4 linked regions of the Rhinolophus ferrumequinum genome follow. The protein of the gene in region 4 purifies or fractionates together with the protein of the main gene of each other region. This does not show direct contact. Links are inferred from orthologs where the notes say so. Each region holds a gene or a part of one and is shown on either strand. Other genes may lie near its edges.

Evidence for each region.
Region 1: the proteins of RAF1 (region 4) and CALU purify together in Homo sapiens (affinity purification with mass spectrometry; 3 studies listed by BioGRID and IntAct, with this or other methods). This does not show direct contact. The link is inferred for Rhinolophus ferrumequinum from reciprocal best matches to the Homo sapiens genes RAF1 and CALU.
Region 2: the proteins of RAF1 (region 4) and DICER1 purify together in Homo sapiens (affinity purification with mass spectrometry; 3 studies listed by BioGRID and IntAct, with this or other methods). This does not show direct contact. The link is inferred for Rhinolophus ferrumequinum from reciprocal best matches to the Homo sapiens genes RAF1 and DICER1.
Region 3: the proteins of RAF1 (region 4) and CCT8 purify together in Homo sapiens (affinity purification with mass spectrometry; 4 studies listed by BioGRID and IntAct, with this or other methods). This does not show direct contact. The link is inferred for Rhinolophus ferrumequinum from reciprocal best matches to the Homo sapiens genes RAF1 and CCT8.

The regions. Positions count from the first base shown.
Region 1 is NC_046309.1:17,384,462-17,392,450, forward strand, and holds the start of CALU (calumenin), read right to left. Parts: upstream 3,208-7,989; 5' UTR 3,083-3,207; intron 1-3,082. UniProt on the Homo sapiens protein: Involved in regulation of vitamin K-dependent carboxylation of multiple N-terminal glutamate residues. Seems to inhibit gamma-carboxylase GGCX. Binds 7 calcium ions with a low affinity.
Region 2 is NC_046289.1:8,184,660-8,192,255, reverse strand, and holds the start of DICER1 (endoribonuclease Dicer), read right to left. Parts: upstream 3,107-7,596; 5' UTR 3,088-3,106; intron 3,066-3,087; exon of another isoform or gene 2,927-3,065; intron 1-2,926. UniProt on the Homo sapiens protein: Double-stranded RNA (dsRNA) endoribonuclease playing a central role in short dsRNA-mediated post-transcriptional gene silencing.
Region 3 is NC_046285.1:95,826,358-95,833,969, forward strand, and holds the start of CCT8 (T-complex protein 1 subunit theta), read right to left. Parts: upstream 3,055-7,612; 5' UTR 2,953-3,054; coding exon 2,893-2,952; intron 403-2,892; coding exon 312-402; intron 1-311. UniProt on the Homo sapiens protein: Component of the chaperonin-containing T-complex (TRiC), a molecular chaperone complex that assists the folding of actin, tubulin and other proteins upon ATP hydrolysis.
Region 4 is NC_046300.1:41,836,724-41,844,632, reverse strand, and holds the start of RAF1 (RAF proto-oncogene serine/threonine-protein kinase), read right to left. Parts: upstream 3,155-7,909; 5' UTR 3,022-3,154; intron 1-3,021. UniProt on the Homo sapiens protein: Serine/threonine-protein kinase that acts as a regulatory link between the membrane-associated Ras GTPases and the MAPK/ERK cascade, and this critical regulatory link functions as a switch determining cell fate decisions including proliferation, differentiation, apoptosis, survival and oncogenic transformation.

The sequences.
Region 1 (7,989 bases), on a different chromosome or scaffold from region 4:
GCTGGAGGGCAGAAGAAGGCGGGGGGAAAAAAAGAATCAGTTTATTTTATCCATTCAAAAATTGCCTCGAAAGCTCTAAATTCTTGCCATTTCTCCCCTTCAAGTTATCTTTTTGTAAAACTCCACTGATCACAGAACACTCAAGAGAAATTGTTTCAGGGAAATGTAGGTGCCTGAATGCAATTCAGCTTCTCAAGCACATTAGCACGGAGTGATCCTACAGTTATTCTGGTTGACCAAAGACCCGTTGCTCAATGTTAACAAGTGGGAGAAATGGGTGTGGTGATAAAATTCCAGTTCTCTGAGCTGGACAGTCAGGAAAAAAGGCATTCATTCCTCTCTAATGCAGCAAAAGCAGGATCTCACTGCTTCTGTGTCTACTTCAGTTGTGGACTGGGGGGAACAGTCTGATAGTCACTTAACTACACGAAATTAAAGCCATTTAGTTATCTATCTGACATTTTGCACTTACCAACTCTGCTACGAGTACCAATAATGAATTGTCACATTAAAGTAATAATGTCATCCTTCATGATTTGATAAAAGGTATGATGACAAACCATTTATTCAATGTTTCCCTAGTGATGGAGTAAATTTACATTAGTTCATTAATACATTCTAATTATTTGTGTGACTGAGGACATACATTTATAAGACAGCTGAGTATATAAAAGAGCAAAATTTGGCTGCAGAAGAAAAGCTTTGAGAATGAGGAAGTATTACTCAGGCTTCATTAGTTCTGTAACCAAAGCAACCCAGTACAAACTTGAAATTTTTGTGGCTACAGAGTGAAAATGTTTGTTTAAGAAAAAAAGTTCTAGAAATTCTGGGAGGGACAAAAGTCTCCTTTTGGCTGATGAAACTTTAATGAATCATTAATTGCCATAGGAATGCTATGCAAAATGTAGGGACAAGGGCCTTGGTTTCTAGTTGTAATTTTGCTGTGCACGTGTAGCATGGATAAAGTCCTAGAGAATTTGGTAGTTATTTTAGCTCAACCTCCCTTCAGTGCCAGATGTCTATAAATAATTTTTAAATGCTAGATGAAAAGACTTATCTCCTGTTATCGCTCCAGCTGGAAGTGATCTGTACCCATTCCTCTAAACTTGTATAAAACTTGTTTCTACCACTCCACAATAGTGATCAGAGGCTACTTCAAGTTGTCTCCTTACCTCCCCTACAGATCATACATTTTTGGAAAGCAGGAATCGTGGCTAATATAAATCAATATCCCTTTACAGTTCCTAATACAGTGTCTTACATTTCTTATATACCAATGTAGTCCACTAGATTAGTTGGACGGTACTTGGCAGCAACGTAGTTCCTGCCTGTGGATGCTCCCAACCCCCAACTCCCCTTACCGGATGTGGCCATCAGCCAGCAACAGGCAAATTGTTATTTCAGCGGTCTTAACTCATACATAAATTGCAACACCAACAACATCCATATTTAATGAGAGTTCATAGAGAGAGGACCTAGGATCTTATGGCCTAGCAAGCATCTCCAACAGTTATCCCTTGGCTACATCTCTGTCCTTCCAACACCCCTGGCACAGAAACTGTGTTACTATCAATGTACTGATGACCTACACTGGTGCAATGTACGTAAAATACCAGCAGTAAGTATCTTTTGACACATCACTGGATGGATGGTAGCAAACAATGATTATATTGAGAGTGATGATGATGAGCTGATTTCAAGGTTGTATATCCGAGTAGTACCATCCATTCAGACATACCCAATTCATTTTTGTCAGCTCCCGGTTCTCCCAGTAGACTCTCAAGTGGATCCTATTGAAGACCCTTGATCACTGTAAAACTCAGATTAGGCCTAAGCAAATTCATCCTCTCTACACACAAATATAATTTACAGGTTGCCTCTGGACCCTCATTTGCATTATCCAGTACTACATAAATTCTTCAGTGACGCAGTGACGGTTGTCATTTGGTACTTGGTTCACTGAACCTACTGAAGGAGGTCAAACGTGGTTTGTCTTGTGTCAACTTCCATTCTATGGCAAAGACTAATTTATCAGAGGGGACACAGTTCTCTACCTCCCAGCGACAAAAACAAACCAGAAGCAACCTTACTTATGATTCATTCATGTTGACTTTATTGTCCATGCCAGGAAGTGAATGAAATTCAATTCTCAAAGAATTCTGGGAGTTTTTACACTTAGGAATTGAGATCGAAGGCCCTCAAATTTTATCAGGAGACCCAAGGAGCTTTCGCCTGGATGCACAAGCAGCTTTCGAAACTGCAAACCTCACTACTATAGTCTTCATCAGGGCAGCTATAGTTTCTTTGGGGGCGTGCTAAAAATCAGAACCAGGGTCAGGGGCTAGGAGCAACAAAAGAGGGTGACAATACAATTCCCTAGTAAAGCTTTGAAAACTATTTTCCGTCGCTGACTTAAGCATGCAGCTATACACGGAAGCTCCAAACAGTCGGCTTCTCTTTAAAAAGAGAAACTTACAGAAACTTTGTTTTAAAAAAATCACTTAGTGTCTCTATGCTTTCTACTCCCGCCCCCCCCCCCCCCGTTTCTTCTACACCCTAAAAGTCAGCGAACGCGACTTTTTTGGCAGATGCACCGTGCTCTAGGGATGTGGCCTCGGGGCGGGGCTGGCCGACACGAGCAGGCCCGTGAGGAGGAGGTGGCAGGGAGCTGTTATAATTACACTACCCGACTGCCCTCCGACCTTCAGGAGGTAAACAAGAATGACCCTCTAGTCCGAGGGACTGGATGAGTGGCCAGGCCCAGGGACCGAGGACGAGAACGTCCGCAAGCCAGGCGCAAAACAGAAACCCGCAGGACGTAAAGCCGGGAGCCGGGCTTCGCCGGGACCCGAGCCGCTTCCCAGAGCGCGCGGGAAGGACAGCGGCGGCCTTCAACCCAGGCTGCGCGCTGAGGGCCAACGGGGTCGTGAGCAGGCTCAGGCCCCAGGTCCCCGAACTACTAGCAGAAACACAGGCCGGGAACGAGGGAGATCCATGCCGCGCCGGGAGCGAAGACTGAGGACAAAAGGAGAGCTAACGAGGAGGAGGCTCTGGAGACAAGGCCGAGCACCGCCATACTTACCCTTCCCGGTAGCGCCCACAGCCCAGGCTGCCGCAGCAGCAGCTCACCCACCGGCTCCGCTCACGCGCACAAGCACCTCCCAACCGGAAGCGACTCCGCACCCCGCCCCTCTCCGCCTCACCGGGCGGCTTCCCAGCCAATCAGCAACAAACCCGCTACTCGCGCAGATCTTCGCTGGACAGCCATTGGTCGCACGATCGCGTAGCCCCCATTGGCTGGAAAGCGCCACGTCCCCGAGCGCGCCTAGTTGCGTGGGCGAATTCCCGCCCAACTCTGGTCCCGGGTCCTGTTGGGATGGCGGGCCCCAGCCCCCTACTCGGGGCGGCTGTGGGCGAGGCAGCCTGGCTGCCACGTCCTGGTTCAGGGCGCGTGACTGTGTCTTGCAGGGCTTCTTGGATTACTCCGCTAGTTATCTTCATGCCCTTGGCACCTTCATAATCTGGCTGCAGCATGAAGGAAAAATGGGCCACATGCGAAGCTGGACAAGCTCAGGGGAGGCCTGCTTGGCAGGCCCTATAAACTCGGACCAAAAGTAATCACAAAGTATGGTATGAACATAAAAATTCCTAACTAAAAGGGGGTCATGGTGGGTAGTTAAGTTGTAGGCCTGTAGCTTCCTTGACAAAGGTCTGTCTTTACCTTAAGTGAGCCTATTATCTGTTTGCATCTAAGATAACATACCCTTTAAATGTCAGAGTAATCTTTTCCAGACCTCTCAAGGCACAACCACAAGCACCAGAGCATGAGACCACTGAGCCCCTCATTATGCTGTTCCCCGCATGCCATCACTATGGGCAGTAAATGTTACTAGCCATCCTGTACCCACCAACGTAAAGGAAGTCCGTGTTGCTCCATTTTGCCTTTTTATCCAATCCCATAGATTTCCCCCACTTTGCTTTCTCCTGACCCCTTAATCTACCACCACTGAATTTCATCTAACCCTCTTTTTATTCTAATATATTAAAATACGACGCGCAACTGCAATTCTCCAGAGCGTTTTCTTAATCTGTTGAGATCTTGCTTCCAGCAATTGTCGTCATTTTGGCTCAGATAAACTCATAAAAATTCTCTACAGGTTTGGATGTTTCTTACCTCGACAGTATCAATCACTAACTGCATGGAACAACCCCAACTTCTTTCCCTTCAGCCCTAGCGCCATGGTGGAGTAGCCTACAGCAGGCTCTTTACTCTTTGGCTTCAGTGTATCTTTCCACTTGACCTCCCACCAGCCCCTCTCATACATCTTGCTCTCTGGCCACCATCATCTTGGTGTTCCCTAATAGCCTGCCTTTCACCTGTCTATGGTCTTTCATCATCAATTGACCTCCTATACCTGGAGTAAGTGCATTTTCCAGATTTTCTGCCAATAGAAGTTCCAGTTTATAGAAATTCTGGTTCAGATGTTAGCTCTTTAAGTTTTTCCTGACCCCATTAGGCATAATAATTCCTCCCTTATTTGTCTTCGTAGTACTTTGTATATTCAATATAGTTTGCCAAATCTTGGTATAAAACACGGCTTTCCATATGTCCTTCTCCAGACTAAGCTCCAGGTTAGAGATCTGCCTTATTCATTTTTGTATCTACAGCTTTGAGCTTACTGCTGAGTTCAAAGTAAATGCTTAAATAGTGTTAAGAGAACAGAATGCATGTCCCTGATTTAAGAGGAACACAGAAAATTATTCACTTATTTATTTTCATGTCATAAAATTAAAACAAATATTAAATGGGGACTACTATGTTTGCAACACAAATGGAATATAAACCTGTGTTTTTAGCACATAAAGCTTCTATATTTTAAAATCCAATTATAATGATGTTAACTTCATTTTTTAAAAATTTTTATTGGGGAACAGTGTGTTTTTTCAGGACCCATCGCCTTCAAGTCAAGCCGTTGTTTTCACTCTAGTGGTGGAGGGGCAGCTCACTGGCCCATGTGGGAATTGAACCGGCAACATTGGTGTTATGAGCAATGCCCTCTAACCAACTGAGCCAACCGGCCGCCCAATAATGTCAACTTCAAAAGTCTGACATCAGGCATCCCAGCTCTGCTCATATGATGCTACTGAACATTCACTCCACAAATGAGTATATTATTCCCTGTGTGCCCGATACTGTTCTAGGTACTGGGGATACAGCAGTGAACAAAATGGACTAAACTCTCTCACAGTGCTCATATGCTGGTATGTAGCCAATTAACAGGACAAAAAAGCAAAATATGTAGAATGAGAGGTGGTAACAGGTTCTAAGGAATAAAATAAGGCAGAAGGGAGAAAAGGGAATGTTGGGACTATGAGAAGTGGTGTTGCAATCTTAGAAAGGGTGGCCAGGGAAGGCTCATGAAGAAAGCGATATGGGAGTCAACATTTGAAAGTGGTGAAGAACATTCCAGAAAAAGGGAACAAGGGCAAAGGCTGTGAGCTGAAACATGCTTAGAGTGTTTGACAAGCAGCAGGAAGCCAGTGTGGCTGGAGTATAACAACAGAGGAGAGGAGAGGACATGAGGTCATAATAGCAGCAGGGACAGGGGTAAGAGGGAGAGGGGCACTGTGGGGCCTTTGGACCATTGTAAGGACTTTGGCTATGAATGAGATAGCGTGGAAGAGATTGGCTATTTACCAAACTGTTTCCTCTTCAGCCTGTGAATATAGCTGGACTACATTTCCCAACTTCCCTTGCAGTGTGGCCATGGGACTGAGTTCTGGCCAAAGGAAGAAAGGCAGAAGTGATGTCCACGACTTCCAGTACTGGCCATACAAACCTTCCGTGTGTGATTCTTCAAGCTCTTTCTCTTTCTGTGGCCACCCTAGAAGTTATGTAGTGCAGTTGGCAGAGTCACAAGATGGAAAGAACCCAGGTTCCCGTTAAAGAGCCACTCACTGAACAGGAACACCCTTTTTAGACTTTGTGAGTGAGAAATGGTCTTCTACTGGTTATTTTATGCCACTGATATATTGAGGTTTGTCTCTTACAGAACTAGCATTACCCTAATAAAGGTGGGCAGCCATTGAAGGTTCTGAACAGAGAAATGACATAGTCTAAGATTTCTAAAGGGTCATATTACACTGAAGAGGTTGAGGTTAGAAGCAAGGATTCCACTTACAAGCTTTTGCAACAACCCAGGTGATGATGAAGATGGCTTGGTCCAGGGTGGTAGCAGTGGAAATAGTGAGAAGAGTCAGATTCTGCCTATATTTTGAGAATAGTTTAAAAGGATTTCCTGATGGATTGGAAATGGGGTGGAGAAAACGCTAGGAATCAAGGATGACTCCAAGGTTTTGAGCAACTAGAAAACCAGGACAGAGAAGACTTTGGGGGAACAAGTTTTGAGGGATAATATTGAAAGATTAGTTTTAGATATGTTGAGGTGCCTATTAGACATTCAAATGGAGATATTAAGTAGGTAGTTGGATATATATCTCTGGAGTTTGCAGCGGTCTGGAGTACAGATATATATTTGGGAGCAATTAGTATATATGTGATATGAAAACCATGAGTTTTCATTAGAAGAGAACCGAGGACCGAGTCTTGGAAATTTCTAATGTTCAGAGATGGTGGAGGGGTGTTGATGAGAATGAATCGGCAAATGAGACTCAAAAGAAAAGCCAGTGAAGGAGGAGGAAGGCCAGGAGCGTGCAGTGTTCTCGAATCCAGGTGAAGAAACTGTTTCAAGGAGAAAGGAGTAGTCACATATGTCACATGCTGCTAACGGTGAGATGTTGGCCAGTGGCTTTGCAATGTGGGGATCAGGCTTGCTGGGGTAGTGGGTGCACAAACCTACTGGAGTTGTTCAAGAAAGAATGGGAAGAAATTGGAGTGGAAACCCTTTCAAAGAGTTTACCATATAGGAGTGGAGAAAATGGAGCGGCAGCGGCAGAAGGGCCAAGAGAGGTTTTGTTTTATTTTGTTCGGTTTTTAAATGGAACAAATAACAGTATGTTTAGAAGAAATACCAGCTTTCTGATTGCTGGTGGGAAGGATTTAGGAGCGAGGATCAAACTGATGACGTAGGAAAACGAACGGAGAGTTGCTGGAGCAATGTCCTTGAGTAGGTGAGATGGGAGGAGATCCAGCACACAAGGGGAAGAGTTGGACTTTGCTTAGAGGGGAGACAGTTCTTCCATAACAACAAGGAGAGAAACTAGATCTGTGGGTCTGGTTCCAGGTAAGTGGTAGACGTGGTGGTGAGAGCTTGGAGTTCTCTTTCAATTGTTACTATGTTCTCAGTGCAATGGAAAGCTGGGTCATTAGGAGGCACTGGGCTGGAGGAGAGCGAAGATGTGAAACAGCCATTCAGCAGAGAGAATAGATAAGGAAAACACAGTATGACCTCCAGGAGACATTAAGGACCCTCCGTAGGCTTGTGATTATGACTCTGAGGTGGGACTGGTGAGGATCTCATGCGGTTTTCTCCAGGCAAGTTTAGCGGCATGGTGCAGGCATTGAGCGAGTGGAGAATTGGACTCAGCCATGTGAACAGAATAAAGAATAAAGACTCAAAGGGGTTGAGGTGCTGAGGGAGGGGCATATTTCAGAATGGGGTGGTGTGTGTAAGTTTTCATGAGCAGCTAAACTCAGGTATATAGTTGGAAAAGGGCCTATTCGTAGTATTAATGTGTTTGGAGCTGGGTCCAGTTTACAGAATTTTCATGTTGCCTTTCATGTCGGTGCTGAGGTGCGTGTAAGGGCGTGATGATAATGGTTCATCACAGAATCTAGGCTGTCAGGAAGGAAAATGAGGACATGAGGAGAGTGGGGGACAGTGAAAACCCAGAAGGAGTAATAAATTGTAGGATCGGTGGGGTGGAAGGATTACTGGACTCAGAGGGAAAGATAGGAGGTGGGATAGCTGGAGAATGGGAATAATGGGGTCGGTACAGTTATGAATGACAAACTCTAGGGTAAAATCA
Region 2 (7,596 bases), on a different chromosome or scaffold from region 4:
AGGTATTTGCACACTTAGGTTCACAGCAGCATTATTCACAAAGCCAAAAGGTGGAAGCAACCCAGGTGTTCACCTATGAAAGACTGGATAAATAAAATGTGGTTTATACATACACAATGAACTATTATTTGGCCTTAAAAAGGAAGGAAATCCTGGCACATGCTACAGCATGAATAAATCCTGAATGAATGACCCCTGAAGATGCTAAGTGAAACATGCCCAGTCACAAAAAGACCAATATTGTATAATTGCACTTATGCGAGGTTCCAAGAGCAGTCAGATTCACAGAAAGAAAAAGTAGAATGATGGTTGCCTGGGGCTGGGAGGAGGGCAAAAGGGAAGACTATGTTAATGGATACAGAGTTTCAGTTAAGGAAGAGAAGATGAAAAAGTTCTGGAGATGGATGGTGGTGATGGTTGCAAAACAACGTGTGTACTTAATTATCACAAAACTGTACACTTAAAAGTGGTTAAAATAATAAATGTCATGTATATTTTACCACAAAAAAGGGGGAAAATCTGAAATATTCAGAGAGAGATCACCTGAACATTTAAGGTTTCACAGTTTCATTCATTCAACAAGTGTTAACTAAGGACTTAACTACAGGTTATACAGGTTTTTCCCTGAAAATCCACTTGGGAACAGCAATGCTACTCAACAAAAAGAGCACACATGCAAGGATTCTGAAATCAAACCATGACAATCCGGGCTCTGCCACTTCTAGACTCATAACTTGAGGCAATTATCTCTGAGTCTTAGTTTCCTTGCATGTAAAATAAGGACAATATCTCGGCCACAATGAGGATTAAACGAGAATGTATATAAAAGCACCTGCAACATCTTGGCACATAAGGAGGCACTTCTTATTAATAAATGCTCCCCTTCTCTCCTTTGCCACAAGTAATGACCACAGGATGTTAAAGTCACAAGTGAGAGACTGTGCAATACCTACTTTCTCAAATGAAGCAAGCATCTCACATGTCAGACAGTGGCAGGGAATAAGTATCGCAATGCCATAAAAATCATCCTTCCTAGAAGGTGGCACTAGAAGGTGGCACTACACTTCAGGTACCACCCACTATGTAACACCACAAAATCACTATCAAATGAGATCATGAGCCACATCAAAATAAAACGTCTTCTAAAACCAAGACAATAAACTCAGCAATCACAAAGCAATCTCACTATGCAGTTCATACACGGGGCCACAAGCATTATACAGAAGGCAGAACTTAATTAATCTTTATTGATGAGACAGTAGAATAAAAAGTAGAGCAAGCCGTTACTAAAATAATTGCAGGAAGACTTTTCTCCCCAAATTAAATTTAACTAATACATCTTTTCATAAAACGGCATTTTGATGCCATGAATAAATCTGTAAGCCAACATTACCATTTAAATGCTTATTCCGTGACATATTAAAAGCAATCATTAGTGTTTCTAATCTACAAAGTTTTATAAAATATGGCCGAAGATGAAGTTTTGAAAATAACTGTGTGTATAGATATGGCATATATTACATCCAATACACTCGTGCCACAGGTAGCTAGTGTTAAAGACAACACTTGGCAAAATAAACTGATTATTCCAGAACCTAGTTCCTAAAGATATTAGCAATACTAAAGTTATTATTCACTAGCAGCCTCATTCAGAATCATGTACCATCATCCATGTAATAAATTATTGGATCTCTTGGTAAGATCGCTTTTTTTTTATTTAGAAAATTTAATGTTTATACCAATACAGTTCCACTTTAGTTAACCTTTTATTAAAACACATTGAAAATATATAATTTTCCAAGTTACTTAACTCCTTACTTCTGCCTTTTTCCAGTCACTGAGTTGCTGCACTTGAAAACTAAGCAACAAGAAGACAACTGAAAATCGTAACTGTAAAAATTCGGAAAATTCAAAGCACCTCAAGAAACACACACTTTAAAGTAATACCCTTTAATTGGATGAATGTTTTTAAACCGCGCTAGTCATAAGAACACTCAGACTTATACGGATCAGTAACGCCTCCCTTTTAAGCACGACTTTCTTCACAAAAGCACTGACTGAACACTATCCAGCGAGGATTCCCCACTCATCCCTGTTTTTGCAAATCTTCAGGCTGTTAAAGATACACTACGTGGTTTGTTAGCTCTGTATTGCGGGCAAAGCCATTGGGGCAGCTCAGCTTTTCCAGGTAATCTATATAAATCTGATGTGCTAACTTAAAACATACACTGATTTCCCAAAGATTAAAAACCCTTTGCAGGATCCAGACGTTCTGGCACAAAAACCTGGGAAGGGTGGAAAGATGGCCTCGGCCACCCGCCCCCTGGGACCCAGACCTGGTCACCTGCCAATAAACATGAACAATCCTCCCACTGCTCCCCGGGAGGGCCCCGAAGGCTCGCGCTTTCCAGCCAGCACGCGCAGCCCGGCTTCCTCCCCTCCCAGCTCTTTCCAAGGTGTCCACTGAGGCCCAGCGCAGTGGCCCCCACCACCGCAGGTCCCAGGATGCTCCCGAGACCCCGCTGCAGATCCCGCACCACTCCGTGCGCGTACCCGGACCTGTCAAACCCCTGGGGCAGGGCCAAGCGGTGAGGGCGCGCTCCCCTCCGCGTGCGGAGGCGCCCGCGTCCCCAGCCAGTGCCGGAGCGACCGCACAAAGTCCCTCCAAAGCGGCGAATCAGGAGCGGCGCCAGGGTCGGGGGAGGCGCAGAGCCCCGCGGGTGGACGCCGGCCCCGCAGGCCGCGCCGCCCGGGACCAGAAGAGGCCGCGCCATCTGCTCGCGCCGTCTCCGCCCCGCGGGCCAGGCCGGAGCGCGGGCCCAGGGCCGGGACGCCCACGCGGGCCCGGGCGCCGAGGCGGGCGCGGAGCCGGGCGGAGCCGCTCCCCGCCCCGGACACAAAGCGGCTCCGCGGGAGCCCGCCTCACCTGCAGCACGGGGCGCCGCGGGCCTTCGAGAACCATCGGACCCCGCTCCGACGCGCGCGTCACAGCCCAGGCCTCCCGGTGCTGCCCGGCGCCGCCGCCGCCGCCGCCATTTCCTCCCGCTCGCCGTCGCCTCGTCCCCGCTGTCAGGTTACTCCATTCACCTGGGCCTGGAGCAGCCTGTGCCGCGCCGCGCCTCCGCCTCGACCCCTCCCGCCGGCGCCTGCGGAGACTGCGCAGCGCCCGGCTCGTCCGCAGCCCGCGCACGGCCCGCGGCAACGGCGCACCGCGGCTTGGAGAATCCCACCGGCGCCCGCGCCGCCCCCTCCGCGCCCCCACGCTCCGCTCGTCCCGCACCGGCATGAGAGAGAGCCTGTGATTGGACAGAGTGTGGCGGTGAAAGGTTAATCCCGGCCCCCCAGCCACTCAGGAGCCAGGAGACAGCGGACGCGGCGGCGGAGGCCGAGGCGGCGTTTGCGGCCCAGCTTTTGGCCGGGACCCGGGCGTTCGACCGCCGCGGCCCCGCGCCTTTGCGACCCTCGTGGGCCTGCGCGCCGAGGTTGCGGACACTCGCTTAACTTGGCAGAACCTCTTGGCTCATGGAATTCGCCCGCCTCCATTGTTGCCCTTTCTGGCACCCACCGCCCTCTGAACGTGGCCCTGCCCCACAGCTGTAATTGTTCTCCGGAGGGCTCGGCGTCCGTTTTCCACTTCCCAACCCCTATTTCAAGGACCTTCCCACTTGCCTGCTTTTGCTCCGCATTAGTGGTGCGGGGCCCAACGCATTAGGCGAGACGACAGACCCCACCTCCTTCCCCACACCCCGGAGCTGGGATAACCAAATAACTGAGATGGGGACAGTGGCCCCACTTATGTAAATTGTTCATTTGCATAGGTTGCAACCGTGTACCATACCTCACAGCTGTGAATTAAAATATGGAGGCCAAGTAAGTGGCTGGCTTAAAGAAAATCCTATTCATTTATGCCAAAATGTAGACATCTCTTCCAGAGGACTCACCTGACAGGTTTACTCCAGAGGAGGTCTGGTAACAGCAACCATGCTTCTGCTCTCAGGAGTTAGCACTTAGCAGCACCTACTACGCGCTAGACACTGTCTAGGGCTGCACTCTTCAATACAGCGGCCACCAGCCTTACGTGGCTACTGAGCACTTAGAATATGGCCACTCTCTGCTGAGACGTGCTAGTCGAACTCAGATGTATGTGTTCTTTACCAGAAAAGAATGTAAAACATCTAATAATTATGTTGGTTACATGTCGTAGTGGTATTATTTTTAATGTATTGAAATAAATATCAGTTTCATCTTATTTTTTTAATGTGAGTGCCGAATGAATTTTAACGTTTCATGTGACTCGCGTTATATAATTTACTGTTGGACAGGCTGGTGTAAATAAGCCCGTGATCTTTACGTGGACCCTGTGAGGTAGGTGCTGTAATTGCTGCCCCCAACACACATACACACTATTAAAATGAAAACCTCCAGCAAGTAAACTAATAAATGAACAACTGAGATTTGAACCCAGGTATTCTGGCTTGGAGCTGATGTGCTCAGTCATTACTGTGCTCAAATTTTGATCATATATTTACTGTAAATTGGCTTGTAGGTTTCACTTAAACATAGAATGTTCATGGGTAAAATGAGGAAATAGTCAGAATGCTCTTGGCAGACTTCCATAGAAAATGTTTCTTATATTCCAAGCACAGTGGGAAATAGATCTCTCCAGTAGTATACAGAAAGGCTTTGGAGCCATAATCCTTCATGGGAGGATGGCATCTCAGGATGGGAACAGGTATGGGGGTCCACTAGCAATGGGAATTTGTGGGCAGGTTAACACTTTCAGGCCCTCCTGCTGTCCTCCCAATCTGTCAAAACTAGCTGGGCTTCTCCATCCACAGCTTTCTCTGATTTTCATCAAGTTAAACTTTTTTTTTAAATAAATAAGCACATATATACTATGTGGCTTGTCCATCAGAAACCATTAAAAAGTATACAGTAAAAATTATCTCTCCCCCGACACCTGTCCCCATGCCCAAACATGTAACCACTATTTTTTTGCTCCTTCTAGAGCAATTCTTTATGCATGTACAAGCCCAGGACGTTCCTCAATTTACAAAAATAGTGGTATGCCATACACATTTACTGTGCCTTGCTTTTTATTACATAATATATCAAGAAGATATGTGTATAGCAATATATACAGAGCTCCTTGCTTTTTTTTTTTTTTTTCCAATTCCCATAACATTTTATTGCAGGGCTATCCCATTATTTAACCAATTATCTATTGATGGACAGTTAGACTTCTAGTCTTTTGCAATTAAACATTGATCCACTTGGAACTGATTCCATACAAGGGATGTGGTATAGATCGAATTTTTTTTTTCCAGATGGCTACACAGTTTGCTATTTATTGGCCATTTGTTGAAGAGTTCACTTCTAGACTCTATTTTGTTCCCATGGTGTATCTATTCCTCCTCCAGTTGCTGGTTTATTTTAAATCTGGAGACATAAAATCTTGTAAGGGATAGTGTTTCATACTTTGTTTAGATCACTAGAAATCTTAGAGCTAATATTTCAGCCCATATTAAGCAGCAGTACAGTTCCATGTGGTATGCATTTTCTGTGGGCTAATTTTTATTTTCCCTTTGCCCTGATTATATTCCACAATTTGTTTCATTTTTTTTTTTTGGTAGAACAAGCCAGGATATAAATAAATATACCTTTGTTTAAGACTCTCTGTTTGCAAGTAACAAACCAATCTTAACCAAAAGGGAAGAATTTATCATAAGGATGTAGGAGTTTCTCACAAAAGCCAGGAGCAGAAATACAGCTGCATCATAGCTAGGGCCTACAACCAGTGATTGAAAAGCTTCCAGGAACCCGAAAGATAACTCTTCATGTCCTTCTGTGACATTTTTCCTTTGTTTTCTGCTTCATCTGTGCATCTCTCTCTACTAACTTCTTTTCTCTGCTTTACAACTAACACTGAAGAATACAGCCACCCCGTATTTATCTAGGAAGTCAGGCCAGTGTCGGGGTGTGAGCCCAGAAAGGGAAGGAAGGACAGCCATCCTGTAAAGTCAGGTGACTGATTATACAGGGGGGCTACACAAAGGAAAAACTATTGAGGATAATAGCAGCCAGCTTTCTCACTTTTGGAGAAGGGGTTACAAATACAAAAAGAAGAAAAGCAAGAAGGCTTGAGTGATTGGATGGGAATTGAGATGTCGATGTGAATTCAAGGTTTTTCAATATATATATATATATATATCTATTAAATAAATACAAATGTAAAAGTATCATATAGATGAGCTTAGAACATCTTGTGCCAGAGAGTATGAAAATGCTCAAAGAATGATGAAGACAATTCAAAGACAAAGCAGTCATCTTGAAGGGCCTCCTGCTGGCCAAATCTGAGACAACTTTTGAGCATCAAAATAAATTATGACAATACAATATATCCCATGCATATGGATATATCCATGAATCTACACTGATTTTTTTTAATGAATAAATAAATCGAAAGAAGAAACAGCTCTTCCTTTGAGTAGAATTCAACTGATAACTTTGGAAGGAATAATGGAATTGGAAAATCACCATTTGGCAATCATCAGCCAAGAAATATCAATGTTTACTAAATCTAGTGGGTAAAAGTTGGACAAGGAATGAGATAGTAATATAGTTTCAAAGCATCTCCCCATAAAATTATTATTTTAAAAAATGAGAACTTTACAAAAGAGAATCTAGCAGATACACCACCTTACTCAAGTATTCAAAGTTAACTGTCATGCAAGGAGTCACAGACAAACCCCCCAAGGCCACATGGTACATCTATAATGTGGGATTTATTGGGGGAAACTTACATGCAGAGAAGTGGGAGAATGAACACCGTCCCTTTAACTTTCATTATTACACAACATAGGCCAAGCACAGCTCTTGACCACGACCAAGGTTTCAGCAAGACAAGGCCTGCCTCTGCCAGCAACCAAGTAGGTGTACAACAGACAGAGACAGAGCCCAAGACAGAAGTGGGCCCCATCCCCACACTGCATTACATATTTATATGTTGGCCTAATTGGGGGTGGAGAATTTCTAGTTTCTCTAAATAACAAGAACTACGACAAGGGAACTGCTATGATGGCAGATGCATATGGATGGATATTGGGCCACAAAAGAAGGGGAGCCTAACAGTCCATGGGGGGTCAAAGAAGTTCTTCCTAAGTAAGGAACCCACGTAAGCTGAGACCTAAAGTGCTAGTGATCAAGTAAAGGGTAGGGGACTTCCACGCAGAAGGCCCAGGATGCCCAAAGCCCAGAGGCAAGGAGGTGTGGGGGCTCATTCAAAGAACTGAAAGAAACCCAGTGTTGACCCAACCATAGAGCAAGCGATAAGGAGACGGGGAAATGACACCAGAACGGAAAGAACTTATGTATCATGTTAAGGATTTGCTGTTTCATCTCAAAGACGAAGAAGCCATATAAAGGTTTTTAATCAACAGGTAATGTGATCAGATATACATTTTTAAAAGTGAACTCCAGCCCGTGAGGAAGAACAAAATTAAAGTGTTCATTTGCAACAGTGTAAAAGATAAGGTAGCTTTGACGAGGATAGTCAAGGGGAGAGAGATATAGCTGATTTAGATATATTAGGAGGGT
Region 3 (7,612 bases), on a different chromosome or scaffold from region 4:
AGAGAATTTTCTCCCTTAAATCATGTCACTTTATACAAAAGAACTGTTCAGCATTGAACATTAGGCACTGTCTCGATGGTGAAAGAACCATAAAGTAACATTTGGATTCCTATTTTTCTAAAGATATCTGAATTGCTGATTAAAAACTGGAAGCACTGTACTGGTGTCATTGAACTACGAAATAACTTTCAAAGCCATACTACGTGATCGCCAAAATTCAATTTATATATAATGCTCTCACAGTAAGTTTGAAAGAGCTAGTACATGAAATTCTACTACTGTAACTTTTAAAAGATTAATTTAGAAATTACCATTTGGTCCATATGCTGTACGAGTCGTCTGGGCAAGCTCCTTGCAAGCCTGTATGTTCCTGTACACAGCCTCTTCTAATCCTGAAAAATGCTGTAAAAGAACTTCTTATTAGACGCGACAGTGAAACACAGTAATTTTCTTCATCTGTAAAACGGGGGTAATAATGGTACCTATTCACAGGACTGTTGAGATAATCAAGTAAGATTTGTGTATGTAAAGCATGGTGCTTGGTATTCATAAATGATCCATAAATTTGCTCACTAGTTTAATGAACAAAGCATGACATTTTTAGGGGCCACCAGTACCTATCTACACATTCAAACATAAAGCCTGTAAATTTTTTTTTTTAATGTAGTGGAAAAGTGCTAAGATTAATCAGAGAAAGCATGTGATTTATTTCAGGTAAAAATACCTTTTATCAGTACTTTCTGACTACAAGTTGCAATGTGGTATGAATACTTTTCTAATTGTGTTAGAGCCTGAGTATCATAACGCTAACAGTTCTATGTTCACAGGGAATTCCCATTTAACGTACCTGCCCCCAAATGTTTAGGGACTAAAGTATACAGACTTGAATGGCAACACAATTCCAATGTGTACATACTGAAAAAAATTGATGAATCGCTCACAGCACTAAAATTCTCAAGTTTTATATTGGACTTCTTTTAGACGTGATTTATTTGTGACCTCAGATAGGTTTCATGAGCCTACTGTTCTCCGGACCCTTTTTCTAGAGCTGCTTTGCCTAACATAGTAGCATTAGCCACATGGTTATTTCAATTTTATGTAATTAAAATTAAAAATTCAGTTTCTCAATTGCACTAGCTACAGTTCAAGCGCCCAGTGGCTATATGTGGCTAGTGGACACCATACTGGGCAATGCTGACATACGTTTCCATCATCAGAGAAAGTTCTGTCAGACAATACTGTTCTAGAGCATAAAGTGTGGCTTTTATTACACTCACAAAACTAACTGTGATCCAAACAAGGTTAATAATCACTTCTTTAGAAGGGGTGGACTCTTAGAATAGCATTCAGTCTGATCCCCTGCCCTACACTCTTGCTTCTTCCCCACCTCACCTCCATTCTCGGAGAAACAACCATCTGATTAGAAATCAGATCCCATCAAACCCTTCAATGCTTTTCCCACTAACTCTTAGGATAAATCGTAAATCCTTCCTCAGGGCTACAAGGCCCGACACAACACGTTCTGGCTCTTAGCTACATCTCCTCTAAAATCACCTCTTACTTTCCTTGCCTTCCCTTGGTAAGCTTCCGCCATCACCTTTCTTACTGTTTTAACAGCTCAAACTCATTCCATCCTCAAGGTATTTGTACTTACTGGGCCCTCGGCCTGGAACCCTTTCCCTTTTAATCTTGGCAGGTTCCTTGCGCCACTCAGCACTGACCTAAGAGTTCTTTCATGAACATCTTATTTAATTGCTCTAAGTCTCCGGACTCATGTTGCTCTGGTGGCAGACTTTGCTACTTCCTGTCGTTTTCTACTAGAGTGCTGTTTATATTCTCATCGTTATGTGAAATTATCCTTTTTGCTTGATCAGTCATTATTTCTGTCTCAGAATAAAGCCTACGAAATTTTCAGCCTGACTTTTTAAATAAAGTAAGCAGTAGTTGATGTAGTTTGCAGCAAAGCGGTTTCATCAACATTTACATTAAACCTTAATATTTATTTATACTCACGGTATGCCAAAGTGCATCCCGCCCACAAGAAACTAGTTCCCAAAAACTGTTACCTAAAATTGAACCATGCTGACCTATACTTCCTTAATTAAACACAGGAAATTTGGAGGACAAAAAAGGACCACTATTGGAACAGCCCAAGAGACAAATTTATCAGCAATGCATTAAAATATTTTTTTTTTAATCATGCTCTTTAAATTACATTCAAGGTCTGGCCATAAAACAAAGCAGTTTTATTTAGGCCAGGATGTCACTTACCCTGTGGATTACACAGGTCAGTCTGATAGTTACAACTTAAAGGTACCATCTTTTGGTCCAATCCCCTCAATTTAAAGGTGAGGAAAGCAAGACCTCCAGGGCTAAGTTTTACATCAAGGTAACTAACCTAAGTCTGGCCCAGGACCCATTTGGATTGTCTATCTGTCCTACTATAACGCACTACTTTTACGAAGTAAATGAGGAGCCCGGTTTCTCAGAAGGCTCTTCTTGAAAAGAAGCCGCCAAGAACTGGCCTTTGTTCCTCTCCTCTCCTCTCGAAGGATGGAGTGTAATCCGCCCCGTCTTACGGATGGAGGAGAAATGCACGTTTTAGGCTTGCCCAGCTAGTTAACGGAGGAAGCGAATCCTGCGGCCTCATCCCTAACCCGCCGCCTCCGACCTCTCAACGCTCCCTAGGATCGGGCAAGGGCAGAAATGATCGCGGGCGTCTGTGTCCGAGACCTCCAGACAACACCTCCCTTTCTGGAATCTTCTCTTCCTTAGACCGCTGTCAGGGTGGAGGGTCACACCCGGCCCTTTAGGAGGCCTTTTTCCTTCATTGCGGCCGCCGCAGCGCTACGCCGACTCTTCCACCTTACTCCCCCTTTCTCCATTCCTCACCTTCGCTCCATCCTTGAGCATCTGGGCAAAGCCCGGGGCCTTGGGGACATGAAGCGCCATGACTAGTAAGCAGGTAGCCCTTCACACGCCGGATCGCGAGATCCCAGAAGCAGCGAGGGGCACGCACAGCCTCCTGGGAACGCAGCGTGCCGTGACCCCACGCTCCTCCTCTCTCTCCTGCTAGACCTGCCCCTTTCCCGGCTGCCTCGCGAGATACAGCAGTTCCCGCAGCCAGAACTGAGTTGACGATCCTCGATCAGGTCGATCGATCGAACCGATCGTAGAGCGCGCTTTCAGTCTTCGAGTCTACGCATGCGCAGGCGGCCCAGGTTGTTGAGGCTCGCTCCCGACTGTCCCCACTGTCGAGACTCCGGGGTTGGGACGTTATACTTTTGACATTTCTGACCTGGAAGCCTCGCCTCCCTCCTAATATTAATTTTCAGGTACTCCTCCAGACCCACCCATAACATCAGGGCAGGTGTTTCCTTTTATCCCGAAGCAGAGCATCTGCCCTCATCCGCAAAAATCTATCGTTGGGCGTCTGCTCTGTCTTGGTCATACTAGTAAGAAGTGCTGGGGACGTGAGAGTAATAATTAGTCTGTGAGGATAACTACACAGCTCCTATGTGCCAGGCTCTGTGTTGTTTTCCATGCAGTATCATAGCTAATGGCCAGTCTTAACGAGTTAACTATCATTTTCTCCATTTGGTAGAAGCGGAAACAAGTTTACAAATGATAATTTGTCCAACATCACAGAGTTAGTAATGTCAAAGCTAGAATGCCTACCCAGATCAGACTGACTACAGAATGCACATTTTTAACCACTGTCTATCTTCCTTTTTTTCTGCTTTTGCCTTGAAATACAAATCCCTTTACTCTTCCAGAATCTTAAAACTTGATCGGTGTGTCTTCCCACATCAACACATGGCTGATTTCAAAAAGACTGAATGGTAATGGAGTATTTTACAGAATTATATCACAATGTGAAAGTTATCCCTTCTTGTGGAAAATACAGAAAACATGAAGCAGAACGTTTTGGCTCGGCTTTTGTTCTTTGACTTGAACAGTACAAATTACTATTTTCTTTCGGGACAGATTTTGTGTGCTTTGGGGAATAATCACATGTGTCATGGCTATCATCAGTTATAACTTTTTCCACTTTTTTCTCAAAAAATACATAATTATTAAAATAAAAAAGTGCTTTTTTGCCACCTCAAATGGTATGTGAACCACCTATTGGGAAGCATTCAAAGAAATCAGCGGTTCTCAAAGTGGTTTGGGGACCTCTGAAGTGTGCTAAGACCTCTCAGGGTCCTCCAGGACCAAACTATTTTCATAATAATGCTGGGACATTTGTTCTCATTGTTTCAGTGGAAAATTTGCCAGAGGTTACAGAAGGTGTGTGATTAAAACAGTTTGAATGTAAAAGGCATGAGAAACCAGTTATCTTCTGTTAAACCAAATAAGAGACTTGCAAAAATGTAAAACAATGCCACTCTTCTCTTTTTTTTTGAAAGATAGTTATTTTTAATAAAATATGTTATCATGTGATGAGTTTATTACTGTTATTTTTTAAAATTAATATTAAAAATATCAGTTTTGGTTTATAAAACAATATTGGTAATTATAACCCTCATTAATAAAAGCTATTGAGAATATCAATAATTTTGAAGAGTAAAGGAGTCTTAAGACTGAGAAATGATAGAACCACTGCAATAGGTCAGTCTTGAACAATGATAGAACAACTGAAGATTTTCTCATGATTAGCTAAGAAATAAAACTTATTTACCTGACTTAGAGTATTATTTATAACCCAAAATAAAACTGAAAGGGGTTAAAAATTACACCTGATGAAATTTAATTAATAAAAACTGACTAAGGAATCGAATTTTGATAAAGACCGTGGAAATTTAAACTTGAGGATGAAACAATTGGTGAATCAAATTTCCATGGAAAGTTTATAATAAAAAATTGATCTTACAATTAATTTTAAATAAAAAGGAAATGGAAAGAATTGAAATCAATTAAAATCTGTATGGTAATTTATCAAGAAATTGAATTGATTTAATTGCCAAGAAGAATGATTTTTAGATGAAAATTCATTAATTTTGTATTGCTTGGGTTAAGCTGTCTTCATAGTTATAGAATCAGAGGGTGAAATTTCCACTGGATCCAAATAATAGGCCAAATAATCTTTGCCCAGAAAATAAATACAAATGCTTAACGTGGCTTCGAGGCCTAGGTTTGGTCCCTGCTTATCTCCCAAGTGTCTTCTCCTTGGCCTTCCAGTCTGTCTTCTGCTCACAATAGCCTGAATATTCATCCTGTCTGTTTCACCTCTTCCACATCAGGGCCTTTGCCTCTGCTTTCTCTCTACCTAGAATGCGCTCCCACTCCCTTTCGGCTGAGTTAGTTCTACTTCAGTAAAAAGACCCTTTTGTTAGAAAGCCTTCGATGATTCCTAAGACATTCGCTGTTAGTCATTGTCATAACTTCTCCTTTATAGCACTGATCACAGTGGTAATGACAAAATTATAATCTCAGCTGCTAGGCATGGCATGGAGGAGAGTCTTAAATAATTGTACAATGAACAAATGGATGATCAAATGGGTGTCCAGAAGAGGGCACCAAAGAATTGGGAGGTGTGGTCTCTATTCGTTTCATCCAGATGTACATGCTCTAAAACTAGAGAATATTACAAAGTAATCAAAAGGGTTTGCCCGGGAGTTTGCAAAAGACCAAGGAGACTAGTTTTCTGCTATTTTGATTCAAAAGCCCAGGACTCATGTTAGGTGCCAACTGAAAACATGGCCTTTAGCTGTTTCCTGGAGTGAGGGTGCCTGCCCCTCAGCTCCCTATATTCAGGAGGAACTCCGCTCTTGCCCTGGGTGGGGATGTCTAAGCCATCAGGACTCTGATAACCAGTCACTATTCGTTTCCAGTGATTTTGTTTCTATTTTTCCTCTTTTTTTTTTTGCCACTGTACTTCAGAATTTTTTTATTAATTTATTGGGGTGACAATTGTCAGTAAAATTACATAGATTTCAGGTGTGCAATTCTGTATCACATCATCTGTAAATTACATTGTGTGTTCACCACCCAGAGTCAGTTCTCCCTCGATCACCATATATCTGATCCCCCCACCTTCATCTCCCACCCCCCAACCCCCTTACCCTCTGGTAACCACTAAATTACGTTCAGAATTTTTTGTAATGTTTTAGCCTTGTCTATGTGTTTTACATTTTTTGGTATTTAATTTTGCGAACTCCCATTAAATCTTTAATCTTCTGGCTTTTCTTCCCTTCCCTCCCCTCAATTTGTATTATTGATTTCATATTACTATATCATCTATTTTCACTATTTTTCCATCAAATTTGATTCTTTTTATTGGGTTTTGGATTTTATGACTCATTTTGTGTCAGCTTCTTATTTTACTTCAATTTCTTTTTTGTGTGAAAAATCTCAATTTTTCTTTATAAATATAATTTTTTAAAAAATTGTAATCAAGTTTCTTGGGGCTTAAGAGAACTCCTGTTTCCCTCTCTGAGTTTGGAAACAATTACATGGGAATCAGGCAACTGGGATTCAGAATATCACACGTTGGAGGACATGGCTTAGTGTAAAGCCCAAACATGCTTGTGATTGCTGCTTTGCACTCAATTGGAGTAGAAAAAAAGAAAAGAGGTCATTAGACTTTAAATGGGGTGACTCTGTTAATCTGGAAATAAATAGCCCAAATGAGAGGCAACTAACATTTATTTGGGATCAAAAATAATTGCAGGGAGGGGAGCACAGATTCAGGTAGAAACCCAAATAGTGTCCCAATACAGGGTGAAGGCAGAAGGTTTTTATGAGAAAAGGAAGGGGACAATTACATGAATAGAAAAAGAAATTTCTATTGGTGGTAACAAGCCGAGTTCCTCTTTAGCTATACATGGCTGGTTACCAGTCTATCATCAGAAAGAGACTCCGTGATCAGTCATTGTGATCAAGTGTTTGTTTTCCTGTTGGCTTTATAAGTAGTTGTTTGTAAGACAATGTTGGTTTGGCTCAGTTCAAAGGTTATTTTGCCCAGTTCAAATATTCCCAAGTTTCAAGAAACAAGACGTGCAATATACACTGAGTGCATATAGGCAGATGCAGTATTTGCTGATGTCACTCGTGCCATGACCAGTATGTCTAGTCTCGATTTTCGGTTGTTTAGCTGGAGGTTTCTCCCCTTCCATTAAGAAGATTCCTCTCCTAACATGGGGTAGTTGTGGCCTTAACATAATGTTCTTACACTGCCTTACTTTAAAAACTTCAAGCAAACTGACATGTATCCATTCTGACTATATTAATCATTTGACTGCAGGAGGCCTTAAATCTAAGGTGTTTGGTCCCTCTTTTTTAGAGGCTGAGAAGTCTAAAATCAAGGTGCCAACAAGGTCAGTTTCATTATGAGGCCTTTTATCTTGGCTTGGGGGCAGCCACCATCCTGCGTGTGCAAGATCTCTGATGTAGCACGATGAAATTTCATGCCGTCCTGCTCCATCCTGCCTGGGATGTGAACCATCCCTGTGTCCAGGGTCTCCACACTGTAGACGCTCCCCACCCATTAGTCACTTAGTCTCAGTGATCAGATCTGTTGTCACAGTAGCACGGTGTTCGTGTTCAAGTAACCCTTATGGTAGCCTAATGCTACATCACAATGCCCATGTCATTTACTTCGTCTTATCAC
Region 4 (7,909 bases):
ATTAGTCCACTGCCTTTCAAAGGCAATATTTAAAATTCTCCTCTGCAAGTCAACATTGAGGCATGCTGTTTGGCTAACAAGCTCCTCCCAAGACCAGAATTATTATGTATGGCCTATTATGTTCCTAACATGCAAACAAAAGCACTCCCTCATGTAGCATTTTTCTGTTTTTAGGCAGAATACCAACAAAGTTTTATCTGAAATTAAAATGTTGTAGAATAATACATCTACTACTAACAGACTACTTGAAATAGTAATTTGAAGTTATTAATTATATTTTCCATTTAATGAGTAATCTAGTGCTTCTGGAAAAGTCAAACTTAACTTCCAAGTTGTTTAATCTTCAGAGCAAATCACCTACTTTGAATTTCACAAATGGCATGTTTTAAACTAAAAGCAACTAGCATCAGAGCAGTTGTAATACAACACTTGATGTTTAACCATTCTCCATTTCACCTTTTAGATACTTTTCATCATAAATGACCAGCTTAATCTGCTTTTCATTGTTTTCTTCTGCTAAACCAAATCCCATAAAATATGTTCTAATGTATTTCACTCAAGCCTTCTACTCTGAAGGCGTAACCATTTTTTCAACTATTGACAAAAGTTTATCAAGACTAAGCAATTCCACTACTATTTATATCACAAATACCACATACCTAAAAGATAAGCTTTTACAACAGAAACAGTAACAGGTTTATTTTCTCAAGTATCCAGTGTTCAATCAATTGGGTCAAATGTTTCTGTTGCAATTTAAACAGTTTAGCCCTTGAGGTGATAAGGGTGAAAACAAGCCAAAAGAATCTTTTTTAAATTAAATTTACGACAGTGGTTAATAAGATTATATAAGTTTCAGTTGTACAATTGTATAATACATCATCTGAATATTACATTGTGTGCTCACCACTCAAAGTCTACTCCCATTCTGTCACCATGAAAAGAATCTTTTTTTTTTTTAAGTGAAAAAAGTTTACTAGAAGAGATAGTACACTCCAAAGAATTAGGAATGGACTGAGCACCAAGAAGAGCGGCTCAAGGCCCTTTGTTTGGGGGGGGGGGGGGTCTGGAGTTTTTATTTTTCTCTGGGATGGGCTGTTCCCCTCCAGACAGGGGACCACTTGATTGACACCTGTGATTGATGAGTCTGAAAAGAACCTTAATGTCCTTCAGTGGTATAGAAGCATCACAACCCAAGAAAGATTTAGGAACTGCTAAACAAAGCCTGTTAATATCACAATAACCACTTTAGCACAGCATTAATCACAACAATACGGCTATTTGGAGGAAATTATGTTCATAGAGCTAAAGACTTGATACAGAATTGGAATCCATGGAATCAATCCAAAGAAACAGTTTACTATACAAAACACATATACTAAACTAAAAATACCCACTTGCATTCTACATTTTTTCAGATGTTTTATATAATCTGGCAATTTCTGTATGACTGGGGAGCATGAGTTCTGTTGTCAACAGCCATTCAAAATGCAGTATTAGTACACTACATTTATAAAGTCAACAATTTTGTGAGCAATTGTAACTTTAGAAAAATCTTCTGCAAGAATCCCTAGGAATATGTTCAGTTCATTCACCGCTGTGTAAAGCACTTGTCAAAAATGTTACCTGGGTTTAACAAAGTAAATATTTTCAATTATATCAGCTTCAATATCATCAAAAGAAGAAAATAAATTATCAGCAAAAAAAAAAATTAGCAACACTCATTTAAAATAATCCAAATTAAATCAACTAGTTCACTGTCTTCAACAAATATCCTCCACAAGCTAGCCAACTTTTCTTTTAGACCCTGAACTCTCACGACTTCCTTCCTGCACCCCAAACTATTTGCTGCTCCCCAAACTCATTCCAACCGCTGCATGTTTCTAAGCCTTGTACCAGCTGTTCCCTCCCTTTAAAATGCTCTCCCTTCCTCCTCACCTGGTGACTACTTACTCATCACTCCAAAACTCGGCGCAGAAGTCCCCACCAGTGGATAGGCTTCCTCAACTCCCCCAGGAAAAACGAGTGGTTCCCAATTCCCACAACACTTGGTAAGTCCATCCTTATCACAGCGCATTGTTTTCACGCCCTGGGAGCCAACGCAGGGCAGAGACTCCCTCCACTAAGCCCACAAAGGAAAAGGCACACAGAAATACTAAAAGAACGTGCCCTGAATTCATCCCCTACTTAGATTATGTGATCCTCTAGGACCCGGTCTCATCTCAAGGAGACACAGGAGATCCTATCATTCTTCCCACCAGAGACTGAATACCAGAGGGCACACCCAGAGCGCTGGAAAGAGAACAATGAATGAACACAGCCGCCTCCCCTCTCCCGATGTCCAAACTCCTCTCTCTGGGCATCGCCTTGCGCTGCAAAGCCTCTGCAGCTGCAGCGTCCTGGCGGCTCTCACTCTACACAAAAGAAAGCCCTGGATCTTCACTCCAAGGCATCCATCCCGAGGCCAATTGTCAGTATAAGCATCCCAAACCTTTCATTAGTAACCCACAGAGTCCTGAAACCCAAGGCGAGGCCCCTATGCCTTTGTAGAGCAGTGACCCATTTCCTCCTCTCGTCCCGGATTTCTCTCGTCTTCCCTAAAAAAGGGTGTCACTTGAGTGACGGACCTTGAGAGAAGATGCAAGCTCAGGTCTCCCACTCCGCGGCCATAAGAAAAGGTAGTGACAACATACAGATACAGGGCACCAATGGGCGGATTTCCCCACTGCCAAAATATGAGAAATGTGCACCAGGTACAGGGGTGGCGCTGGCCCGTTTCCCCGAAACACAAGGAAATTAGAGTGGAGATGTGGGAACTCGGCTCGCCGGCCATGACACCGAGTCCTGGGGCCCCCCCGCCCTTCAGCGCCAACCGGGGTGACAGCGGCCTGGCTCGGGCCCTCCACCCAGCAGCCGTTGGGACCACTCCGTCAGCACCGTCCAGGCCGGGCCACCAGGGAATCCGGCCCCTTCAGCCCCACCGCACGGCTTCCTCAGCATCCAGGGCCCGGCCCAGCCGCCTACCTAAAGAGCCGGGCCGCCTCCGTGTCCCGTCGTCCGGCAGCGGCGTCTGGCCCGCTCCTCCTCCCCGCGGCGGGTGAGGGAGCGGGAGGCGGTCACATTCAGCGCGTCCCCAGCCCAGGGGACGGGGCCCCGGGCAGCCCCCGCATCGTCGCACTCGCGCTCCGAGCCTCAGGGCACACGCCCCAAAGCCCGGCCAGCTGGCCCTCTTTGGGGCCCAAAGAGAGCAGCAGGAAAGGAGCGCGTCTCAAGCTCGCTCTCGTCTTACTCCCGCCATCTAAGATGGCGGCCCCAGCACCCGCGATGAAGAAACTCTCGGGCGGCCCCGGCAAGCGAGCCCTCCACTCGGTGCTCCTCCTCCCGACCTGAAGAGCCACCGGCTGTCTGCTTCTGCGCGAGCCTGGCAGCCGACTTCAAACTTGGCTCCGGCATCTATCGCTCCGGCCTGAATTCAGCCCCGCCTCCCAGGGAAGGGGCGTGGCCTCGCGAGCTAGCTGGTCGCCATTTCGGAGCCCGGAGGTTGTAGGCTCGAGGCTGGGGAGAGGCGGTGGGCAGTGGAGAAGGGCCGAGGTTAGCCGCCTCGAAGGGGGTCTGAGGCCTAGAGAGGGGAGGAGGGCAAGCCTGCCAGCATCACAAGACCCAGAAATTCCCGAGGATGCACAGCGTAGAACATTGTCCAGCTTTGGCTCATCCTCTCCAGAGTGGGACACAGGAGACGTCGAATCGCGACTCCGCCACTTACTGATTGTGTGGGAAAATCCCTAAACTTCTCTGAGCCTCAGTTTTCTCATCTGTAAATTGGGGGTTCCTTCTCCCCCCATGAGATTGGCAAAAAGTTGAAAAGACTCATAATATCCAGTCTGGTCCAAGGTATATGAAAACTTGTGTACCCTCGTTGAGCACTGGCAGAAATGGACATCAGGAGGGCAATTTGGCATTATCTATGGATATTTTAATGGTTATAACCCTCCCAGCAATTCCGCTTCTAGGCACTAATTCTAGAGAAATATGTACACGTATACACAAAAAGGTATGTACTAAGATGTTTATTAGGAATATTGTATGCCTTAGACGTACACTGGGGAAAATGTGGATTAATTAAATAGGAAGCTGGTTAAATAAAAGTGCTACCTCCACAGTATGGAAGATCTATCATCCATCTGTTAAAAAGAATGGGTAGGTTTATGTACTGTTTTTTTTTTTTAATACAGGACGTTGAATTTTTTTTTAAAAAAAGAACATGTACAGTATAATTTTACTTATTCAAACACAGGCACACAAAACTACCCACTACAGTGTGCAACATTCATTTAAATTTTTATTGAGAGCCTATTGTGTACCACACATTGTTCTGAGTATTGGGAAATCAACAATTATTAAAAGCCCTGCCTTCTAGTGATGAGAGACCAAAATAAAGTGGAAATAATAGGTAGTAATATGCGCGGCATAAAGAACAATGAAGTGAAGCACGATGAGATAATGAGAGGAGTATGTGGACCAACATGAAAATAAATGCCGGGGAAATATGAAGGCATTAAATACGAATGAGCCATGAGGGGATTTTTTTTTTTAATAGGCATTATAACTAAAAATTCAAATGAGTAAATTTGAAGATCTAATTAGCTTTACTGAGCGATTCATGAATCAGGCAGCATCTCATCTAGTAACTAGAAGGGAGCTGCTAAGGATTGTACAAAAAGGAAGGTTTTTATAGGAAACCGTGAGGAAGAGGAGTTACTAGTGGAAAAAAAGGATTATTTTCTGGCTGGACATCTTTTGGAACAAGAAGGGCAAGGGTTTTTATCATGCAGATTGCCTCTTTTTTCTATGAGGGATGGAGAGGGCCTATGTGACAGATGACCTTACAGGTGCTTGACCAGAAAATTCCAGACTGGTTAATTATGTTCTGGGAGAGGTTGAAACTACAATTAGATCAGGTATTAAATCTAGGTTTTGTATCATGGGCTTTTAGCACGAGTGATACCATTTGGGGCCTGTGGTTTTTTGGTTTTTTTTCCTTTAACAACAGTAATACCTGCCTCTCAAGATTAAATGAGATAAAACATGGAAAGCCCTTACTACAGAGCCTGGGGTTTGAGACCAGTTTATGGAGGCTAAGTGCCCCAATTCAAATTTGGACTCTGCCACTTCCTCATCTGTGACTTGGACAAGTCATTCAAACCTCAGTTCCTCAGTTTTCTCATCTGTAGTGGAAACATGATAGTACCCACCTGTTAGCATTGTAAGGTGTGGGGACAGAGCCCCAAAAAGCAGTTTCCAGGCTCTCGGCGTCACATAGAAAGGTGCTGGCTCAGGTAGTAAATGGCCATCGACTGTGATCAAATGGCCATCAGTTGTGGCTAGTTGGCCGTCAGCTGTAACCAGTGAGCCATTAGCCATGAATATAACTGCCATGGCTAGGCTAGCAGGAAAAAGGGGGAGCTAGCAAGAAGATGGTGGCTGAGTCTGCAAGCGGCACAGTGAGGGTTGAGAATTGTGTGGCTCCTGGTTCCTGTGTCTCCAACCCAGCCGCCAGTGAGAGTATAATGGTATGACTCCCCTACCTATGGCTCCGTGGGTGTTCCTTTTTGGCCTCACCATGTCCTGCGTTTTTGTGTGAGGAGTGGGACCAGAGACCCCGCCGGACGCCCCGCACGACACTTGGCGTAGTCGGCAGGATACCCCGCATGACACCCTACATGACACATGGCGAAGTTGGCAAGATCCCCTGCAGGCCGCCCGGCATGACACATGGCATAGTCGGCAGGATCCCCTGCACGACACATGGCTCAGCGAGCAGGGTACGGTGTTGGCCAAAGCTCCCCGAAGGGCAGTGGAGCAGTTTGTGCATCTGAACACTCAGTTGCAGGAAGACCAGGCGGAGCAGCTGCCTGAGAGCTGGAACCCCGTGGAGGGATGGGAAGACGTGAACGGTTCCCCAACCAGCAGAGGCCAGAGAAAGTGAAGATCGTTGCGGCCCGTGAGATGGAAAGTGCTTGCTGAGGCAGCCCGGATGCAGGACTTGTAGTCCCAGGAGGAAAGGCTTGCTGAGTCCTCCGTGGGAGCTGAGGGTGAGGTCAAGGTCATCCCTCACCCCCAGGACAGCCCTGGCGAATGACTATGGACTATGGGGAATTGCCTTCCATCCCTAATTTAATGGACAGCTTGACTATTTGTTTGGGAACATACCACCATGTAGTGGAACTGGCAGATGTTTGCTATTTTGTCTTGACTGGCCGCCATCGAGAATATGTAAGCACCTTGACTGGTACCCTAAGAAGTCCAGGAAGTCTGGCTGTGCCCAGAAGTACTGGTGGTGCCCTGAGAAACCCTGGCTGTGCCCGGGGAGACTAGTGGTACCCTAAGAAGTCCAGGAAGTCTGGCTGTGCCCAGAAGTACTGGTGGTGCCCTGAGAAACCCTGGCTGTGACCAGAGAGCTTGGCTGTGTCCAGGAAATAGCATTCACCTCCAGGCTCCTCGCACAGGGCCCCTCGCGGAAGACGCTTGTCGCGTAGATGGTGAGGCGAGACCCTGTAGGGGTGGAGTGTGGGGACAGAGCCCCAAAAAGCAGTTTCCAGGCTCTCGGCCTCACATAGAAAGGTGCTGGCTCAGGTAGTAAATAGCCATTGACTGTGATCAAATGGCCATCAGCTGTAGCTAGTTGGCCGTCAGCTGTAACCAGTGAGCCATTAGCCATGAATATAACTGCCATGGCTAGGCTAGCAGGAAAAAGGGGGAGCTAGCAAGAAGATGGTGGCTGAGTCTGCAAGCGGCACAGTGAGGGTTGAGAATTGTGTTGCTCCTGGTTCCTGTGTCTCCAACCCAGCTGCCAGTGAGAGTATAATGGTATGACTCCCCTACCTATGGCTCTGTGGGTGTTCCTTTTTGGCCTCACCATGTCCTGCGTTTTTGTGTGGGGAGTGGGACCAGAGACCCCGCCGGACGCCCCGCACGACAAAGGATTTAGTGAGTTTATGATGTAAAGCATTTGTAACAGTGCCTGGCTCATATTAAACATTATAGAAGTGTCAGCTGTAATTATTATAGCTATCTTATATCATTACTGCTTAGGGGCAGAACAGCAAAGCCACACCTGCTGACCCCCAGGCCATTCCTTCTTTCAGTTGTCCCCAGCTGTTATTTGCCCAGCATTTCACATCTTAGAATCCTTAGGGAACCCATGCTTTATTCAATCCTCACCAGACCAGTAAGAGTGGCTACTTCATTTTTTTCAAAAATAACTTTTTTGAGGTGAAATTTACATAACATGAAATTAACCATTTTAAAGTGAACAATTCAATGGCATTTAGTATGTTCACAATTGTAACCACCACCTCAATCTAATTCCAAAACATTTCCATCACTCCAAAAGAAAACCCCTTAACCACAAAGCAGTTTCTCCCCATCTCATTCCCACCCGGCCCCTGGCAACCACCAATATGTGTTCTATCACTATAGCTCTATCTGTTCTGGACATTTCGTATAAATGGAATCATACAATATGTGACCTTTTATCTGGCTACTTACACTTAGTATAATGTTTTCAAGATTCATCCATGTGGTTGCATGTATTAGTACTTCATTCCTATTTATAGCTGAATATGTAAATATATAGCACAATTTGTTTATCCATTCGTTGATGGACATTTGGGCTGTTTCCATCTCTTGGCTATTATGAATAGTGGTGCTATGAGCATGAATGTACATGTACTTGTTTGAGTATCTGTTTTCAATTTTTCCAGGCATATACCTAGGAGTGGAATTGCAGGGATCATCTTGCACTTCACTGGGTTGCACGTCCTCGCTTTGGAAACCTCTGATTTGGCGTGTCGACGTAAGAAACATCCAGACCTGCAGAGAATTTTCATAAGAGTTTATTTGAGCAAAACTG